Linked DNA regions of Drosophila melanogaster. Changing the gene in region 1 together with any one later gene gives a genetic interaction. Each region holds a gene or a part of one and is shown in the gene's direction. Other genes may lie near its edges. The genes, in order: Efa6 and RhoGAP18B.

What was found.
Region 2: of Efa6 (region 1) and RhoGAP18B, changing one suppresses a phenotype caused by changing the other (phenotypic suppression), as found in Drosophila melanogaster (one study listed by BioGRID).

The regions. Positions count from the first base shown.
Region 1 is NT_033777.3:22,585,675-22,589,600, forward strand, and holds the start of Efa6 (exchange factor for Arf 6), read left to right. Parts: upstream 1-2,080; 5' UTR 2,081-2,606; coding exon 2,607-2,744; intron 2,745-3,926. Other genes in the region: CG6937 (uncharacterized protein), read left to right, coding at 1-389; btn (buttonless), read right to left, coding at 475-951. UniProt on the Drosophila melanogaster protein: Guanine nucleotide exchange factor for Arf6. Regulates axon growth and branching by inhibiting microtubule polymerisation at the cortex. Together with shot, promotes axonal microtubule bundle integrity.
Region 2 is NC_004354.4:19,156,419-19,160,344, reverse strand, and holds the start of RhoGAP18B (Rho GTPase activating protein at 18B), read left to right. Parts: upstream 1-2,143; 5' UTR 2,144-2,225; intron 2,226-3,926.

The DNA.
Region 1 (3,926 bases):
CCGGTAAGAAACAAAAAACGGCCGCGAAGAAAGAACCAACGCTGGAGGATTTGCTGGGCAACACCATCAACGAGGACTCCGATGATGAGGACTACGTTGATGCATCCGATGATGAGTCCGATCTGGAGGCTGAGGAGGAGCAAGCGGACAGTGAGCAGACCAGCGATGACAGCGACGAAGAGGAGGATTTATCACCGCCGCCCAAGCAGAAAAAGACTAAGCTGGCTGATAAACTGAAACGCAAGCCCGGCACTGGTGGTGTGCAGAAGAAGAAAATAGCTCCGCCGGCTAAGAGCAACAAGAATGCCGCCACCCAGAAGTTGCAGCTGGCCGCAGCCAAGTCGCTGGCCAAACCCTTGCCCAAGGGAAAGGCCAAGAAATCCAAGTAGTAGCTTAAAATACATTTACTATAGTTGTTAAGTAAGCGAAAACATTTTGTAAGATGAATTGTGTTAAAATATGTCCTTGTACAAACTAAAATGGCGTTTTGGCCGAGCTGCCTTGCTGCTCCTCCAGTTTGATGCGCTTGCACTTCATGCGTCGATTTTGGAACCACACCTTCACCTGGCGTTCGGTCAGCTCCAGCGCCACTGCGATTTCGTAGCGACGCAAGCGAGTCAAATAGTTGGAATAGCAGAACTCCGCTTCCAGCTGCTTGAGCTGCGTTTTTGAAAATGCTGTGCGTTCCTTGCGATTCGAGCTGATTGCCCGGAGTTTGGACCTTTGGCTTGGAAGTTCTTGACCAGTAGGTGCCTCATTTTGTAACCATTGATCGTTCGCTTCGTTGCACCAATTAGTTTCTAGTTTATTGTAATCCGCGTAGGAAGAAGACGCACTGTGGTCATATACATAGCTGCAGTCCGTATAGCCCTCCGTTTGGTTCAGCCACGATTTCGTAATATCCTCGTAGCAATAGGATTCTTGGTAGACGTTCGCGTGGGAGTTCTTCATTGCCGATGTCTTTGCTTCTAGGTCTAAACTATTACTGAAATCTCAGATTCGGCGGAGCTGCTTTTTAAACAAGGCGCAGAGTGTGCCAGGCCAATCTGCTTTTTCACTTAGTCGCAAATGATGTGCTGCTGATATGATAATTGTGCGCAACATCTGGACCTCGGGTATGAGTGGTTATGACACCCGCAGATCGGCTTGTTGTCTTTGCCTACGAACTGTTGTCACAACAAACCCGAATCCGATTCCCAGCCCCTTCCCCAGGCGTCCGGTCAGAAACGGAAGTGGACGCATGAGTCAAGTGCTTTGTGCCACCAACTGCGGAGCTATAAAATTTTAATAGACAACCGTCGGCGAGTCGTAAGACCCAGTCGGAGATTTATCTGAAAGTCGCAATTGCACGCGCTTTTAAAGTCGATGCGGCGGATTACGAGTGACCATTGAGTGTATATTCCTAGATAATCCATGACAAAGTGGAGTTTTATATAATAATTAATGGGGAAATAAGTGCGTGTCACAGAAATGGTTAAGGGATAAAATAGTTCAATAAAATAAGTCTTACGGGGGTTTTAGAAATTAGAAAAGAAATCAAAAAATTTTGATATCCTATTATGAAACCAATTATAAAATGGACACAGCAAAAACGTAAATTCTAGCTTCTGCTTATTTTTCTTGGGGCTTAGGTATACCCTTTTTTATTTGAGTTTTTATTAAATAATATACCGGTATATGAAAATTAACCGGTTCCGGTTTTAAATTATCCGCATTTATTTTCAAACTGAATAAGTGTTGGGTAATCTTTTTTGGTTAAGGCATAGGCACATTTCAAGTGTTGCCAGACTATGACATTCCAAAGGGCATTCAGTGATATCTGTTGTCCTTCGCTGTGTAGTTATTGTTTGGCTAGATTTATTCATATATTTCTTTTAATTTTCCTTTGTCAGCTAATAAATCTCATTTAATCTAGAAAAAGTATACAAGAGGTTTAAATATATCTATCGATAGAAATGAAGCAACGGTAGAAATACTTTCCGATATCTATCGATATATTAATACTTTTATGCTTCCCATCCCCAGTGCAATAGTACAATTTACAATTTACAATCATTTAGTACAATCTGCGATATCTGGGCATCCACATTCGCCAAAATATGTGCGGCTAAAACCCCCCGCGAACCGCTAAGCGGCGGCGAAACAGTCGGACAAAAGCGACATAAAGAAACGAAGCGAGAAGCAGACGGGCGAATTAAACAAGTTTCGTTTGCGTGGAACGCAGAATTGCGTGGAAAGAAAGCCAACGAAGTAGAAGAAGAAGCAGCGCAGCAAATGCAATAATGTTTAATGTTTAAACAAATTCGCCAAGGAGTTTCATTCTTTTTTTCAAATCGTCATCCGTGAGTGCGTGTATGAGTGTTTGTGAGCGTGTGTGTTTGTGTGCATGTTGTGAAGTGGAAAGAGTGAAAACAAAATGAGAGTGTGCAAATGAAGTTGGCCAAGCCCAAAACAGCGAGAATTAATTAAAGCGACTAAGAAAAGTGGCCGTCGCCCAAAGGATTAATCACGCCCAGGGGTTACCCACCCACACCGCCAACCAACCAAACGAAAACTCGGTGAAAAGAGTGTGAACCGATCGGCAGCAGGACGCCGAAGGACCCAAAATGAGCGAGGAACTGAAAGTGGTGCTGCGGCGCAGCGAGCAGCATTCCGGTTTCGGGTTTTCGCTACTCGGAACCACCGGACCGCCACATGTCATCTACGACATCGTCGAGAATTCGCCGGCAGCCGATTGCGGAGCGGTAAGTGAAGCAAACACAACAGCACACCGCAGTTGCAGCTCCTCTGCGCCTTTGTGTGTGCTGTGTGTCATTCCATTCCCGTCTGGGACAGGAGGACTGGCGGAGTCCTCACACCGAGCGGCCCATGCCACCCCCTCATATCCACCCACCGGTGACCTCCGACCACCTCTACCAATGACTTCATCAACCACCGGGCACTGGAAGCAGCCAGCGAAGAAGCAGAAGCAACAGCTCCCTTGCTGGGCTCACTTTTGGCAACGCCACATTTTAGACTACAGTAGAGCCTCGACAAGGCACACCGCCCAATAGCGGAATTTATTAAAGATCATTAAATGGAAATACGTAGCTGGCAAAATTGACAAAATTCATAGAAATCATGCCAGTTTCTAGTTAAGATTGCTGTTCTGCAATACTCATTTTTCCCTGGAATTTTGTGCTTTTCAGGGAATATTAAGGAGATTTTAGAGAATTGACAAAAAATTGACAATTGACAAAATTCATAGAAATCATGCCAGTTTCTAGTTAAGATTGCTGTTCTGCAATACGCATTTTTCCCTGGAATTTTGTGCTTTTCAGGGAATTTTAAGGAGATTTTAGAGAAGTGCAATAACAAATTGTGTGATTTCAGCACCGTTTTAAAATTTTTGAAGGATTTGTATACCGTCCAACTGCCGTTACATAAGCATTCAAACGGAAAACAAATTATTCATGACGTTTTATCTGACGCAAAGTGCATACGTACATATGTATGTATGTATGTACATACATAGATAAGTACGATTTTTTATGGCAGCTGGTGGCTTGAGTTTTGGAAGTTGGATTGTGTGCAAAGCGACCGAGACTCGCCCCTCGGCTGCTGATAAGAATATTTTCCACTTTTCCACTTCTTTTTTTTATGGTGATGACCATGGCTGTCTGCTGGCGTATGTGAAAGCATTTCAATTTGCACAACGGCAACAAAAAAAAAGCGAAAAAAGCGAGAAAAGCGCAAATGAGAGTCCTCCGTTGGCGTGTCATCATTGTTTGCCGCTCGTGATGTCATCGTTGCTTTAATTGATGGGTGGAAGGGCGCTGGAAGGGGGCGAGGGGCGGGTAGTCTCACACAAAAGCCAGTGTATCAATTTTCAGGCTTGTTTTGCTTTTATTTACTATTTACTGTCATCGCATCGCATCTCGAATGTT
Region 2 (3,926 bases), on another chromosome or scaffold:
AAAAGCCAAACCAAATATGAGTCGGGGCAAAAAAAAAAAAAAAAGATGGAAACTGAAAGCGAAAACATGAGAAATATGTTCTTCAGGAATTAATTTACCAAGCACTGCGAATGTTAAATGCCCTACTCCGAGATATAATTCATAATTTATTAGCCGAATAAATATATATTAAATATATTTGGGTTTCAATTTATGCACTTAAAACTCATATGTGGTGGCGTGCTTTAAGATAGATATTAAATCTATAGTGTAAATCCCACACTTAGTCAACCCTAGAAAACCCTATGATTTATTGGTATATTCCTGCATATACACATACATACATAAAAGTACATATGTATGTATGTAGGGTAGCCGATAGCAAACAGTTGAATGCAATGTTGGTCACAGCCTGAATGCATTTCTTTATTTCGGTATGTGTGCGTATTTGTTGTTTTGTATCCGCATCTGTATTTGTATTTGTATTCGTATCTGGTGGATACATTTGATGCCGTCGGCAGCGAAGCCAACAACAACAATTGTGTTCATTGTGCTTAATTAATTTAGTTCAAAGATCAAGCGACCATATTGCTGAACATCGGCTGCAATGCGATTCTTCGCCGGCCTCTGCTCATTTTCATTTTTATTTTCATTTTCATTTTTATTTTTATTTTCATTCTCAGTCTCACTCTCATTCGCCTATTTTTTAAGTCTCTTCCCCGGAATTGTTGTTTTTTCCCCAAAGATGCATCCTCATCTTTTCTTTCTCTATTTGCTCCCGGTTCTGTTTTATATGGATTCCGATTTTTGTAAATATCGGTCGTGTACTATATGGATCTTCAAAACATGATTGCGAGCAGTATTATGAGGAACAGGATTATGAGGATTGGTTTCAAAATTCAATAAGAAATAAGAGAGCTTACGGTTCGTGCTGAAAGTGCAGTTCTCATTTTCATATCGGAATTGCTTGCAATAAAGTGTTGAGCAAAAGTATGTATGTACATATGTATATGCATATCGTAATCGGTTTACGCAACTGTTGTGCATAAATTGAACAGTGTTTAGCATTCATCATGGTTACTTACACAGCTCGATCCACCCGCCCAGCACCGCCCCCTCTGCGGTCCCAGAACCGACCCCAGCCCCCCCCTTTTTTTGCACCCCCTACTCCCAACTCAGCCGAACTGAAAAACAAACTCCCAACCCTCGACAGCACCCCCCCCCCCTTTACCACCCTCCTTCAGGGACCGCACTCGATATGCTTAATTAGGCAACGGGCGTTGAGTATAAAAAGCGTCTTTTGTCGCTGCCACGCCCCACCCTTACCCTCTCACCCCCTCATTAGCCCATGCCACCCCCAACCCTTACACACACACGCACATTCGTGAATGTGGTGGCGCACAGCCAGACAGAGCCACACATGTTGCCCATGTTCCATTACACACATGTGGTTCGGTTTCAGTTCAGTTTTAGGTTTGTTCTGCTCTGCGCTGTTCTGTTCTGTTCTGGGCTTTTGCCTCCCCATCACTGATCTCTGGCCCACACTGGTCAGCATGACATGGGTACGAAGGATAGTTTCAAGCTCGGTTGACATGAGTCATAGTTTCACCGATGATGAATCACAGCTCATAATGGTCCATAGTCATGGTCATAATAATGATCCATAGACTTTGCCTATAAAAGTAAATAACTGTAAGAAATGTATTAGACAAGGCAAGAATTTCTATTGAATCTTATATTAATTTAAAAAGTTTTATTCTAAAGAAACTTATTGATGATATAATTTTGTAAGGCTGGCATATATAGTTAGCATTTATAGTTTTTAAAAATACTGATATATCCTGTAATATATGTATTATATTTCATTTGAATATCTGAAATATTTGAAATTACCCGCTTATAATTCCCAACTTGCTTTTTCATCGGAAGCAACAAAATTTTGTTGCGGGCTTTGGGGGTTAGTGCCCACTTTTGCTGACTAGTGTGGAGTGCTCGAGTTCCCTGGGTGACCGGAGGTCGGCATCGCCATAGCCATAGCCACCGCCACCGACTCGTGGCGTCGACTGCGACTGCGACTGCGACTGCGCGGCGACTGCGACGTCAATCGCTTACGAGGCGGACCGCCACCCAAGAAAATTCTCGGCGGCATCTTGAGTTCAATTTCAGTTGATATTCTGTTAAATTCGCGAACGCGTCGCGCCTGCAGCTCCCGATTTGATGGAGAGCCCCACCTCAAGCCCAATTTCGTAATGCTCCCATTTAAAGCTCGGCTTATCAGTGCTGGCCAAAATCGGTGCTTTTTGTTTTGGTGCTCGGGTTTCGGTATTGAAGCCCACCAAGTGCCTCGATCGATCTACAATAGTTTTAATAATAAAACAGTGCATTTGGGGAAATTGGAGAGAAAGTGAGATAAGCGCTGCGAGATAACGGGACCAATCCCGTTTTATTTGTTCCTTCCTTTCGCCCATAATATGGGTGTGTGTGCTCATGTGTTTCTTGTGAATTACAGTATATTGCTTTTACAATGGCATTCATCGTCATTTATTCATTTGTCGCGCCATCTGAAAATGAACGGCGATGAATCATCGGCATAGGCAAATCAGCGGATTACCCACAATCCACACTGATTGCATTGCTGTCTCCTTGGGGGCTGCACAATTTGGACAGGTTTTATTGACGGGGTCAAGAAGGTCTCGATCGAATGCCCAAAAGTATGCAAGTTTATCACCAAGGCGCCCGAAAAACCAAAGTTTTGCGGTTTTGTTTTTTTTGTATTTGAGGAATCAAACTATAAACTGTGTATTTTGCCAGTGTTTGAAGTTAAACTTAGTTAATTGGGTTCAACAAAATATATATCATAATCATATTAAAAAATATAATATTCAATTGGTTGTGCTACAGCTATTTTTATAGCTATTTATAACGAAACGGATTTTCTGAATGAAAATTTTTAAAAAAGTATATGAATTCGGTATCAATATATTTTTTCTATGCTATTGCTGCATTTTGGTGATTCGTATCAGTACATAAAAACATTTTATTAATGAAATTTTAACACTTTAAAGTGAATCGCAAGCATTTCTTAAGTCATGAAGGATTTGAAATATATACTTTCAAAATTTCCAAAATGAACAACAAGCCCAGTGATGTCAGGCTTCTAAATAGTTTATTCACTTATTTATTAATAACTATGCTTCAGAACCTTCAGACCCTAGGGATTCAATTTAAGAATTGTTTATTTTGTAGAAAGCTAATTAGTTCAGAGAAATGCTCCTAATGAGACCACAACAATTATATTAGTGAAAACACAGTCAATCAGTTATGAAGAATTCCACAAGCCTTTTGTTTGCTATTAAAATTCAAATAGTTTGGAACAATTAAGTGTATGGCTCTTTGTTAAATTATTTCTCGGATTGTTAATATATCACGCAAGTAATTAATCAAGATTTTCTATTTAAATAAATTCGGTTTCTGTATAATTTGTGTGTTTTTTATCAGAGAAATGAATATCTTATAGAATGTTCTGTAAAATTATCTTTTAAAGGACAACCCAAACATGATTATAAAGAATTGAAAATTAATAATACAGGTTATTGTCCAAGCAAACAAGACAACCATTGACCATTGACCCTGATTCTAGACCAAAGTATGATTAACAACACCGTGAAAACGCTTTTACCTACCAACCAACCAACATTTGTGGTACCTAACGATCCAAATCTGTTGTATTTTGAAATATGGTGGTAGGCTACTCTCGACTGGATTTGAATCAGTTTTATTTAAATGACGCTGTAACAACAATTGGTGGTGTTGGAGAATGCGAAACATGTTTTAAGCACCTAAAACCCCTAACCGGTTTCCCCTTTCCGCCCCAAGCCGATTATGATTAATGGCGGCGATCCTAGATCAAAGAATTACGAATAATACGAAGCCCCCGAAGAAGATTT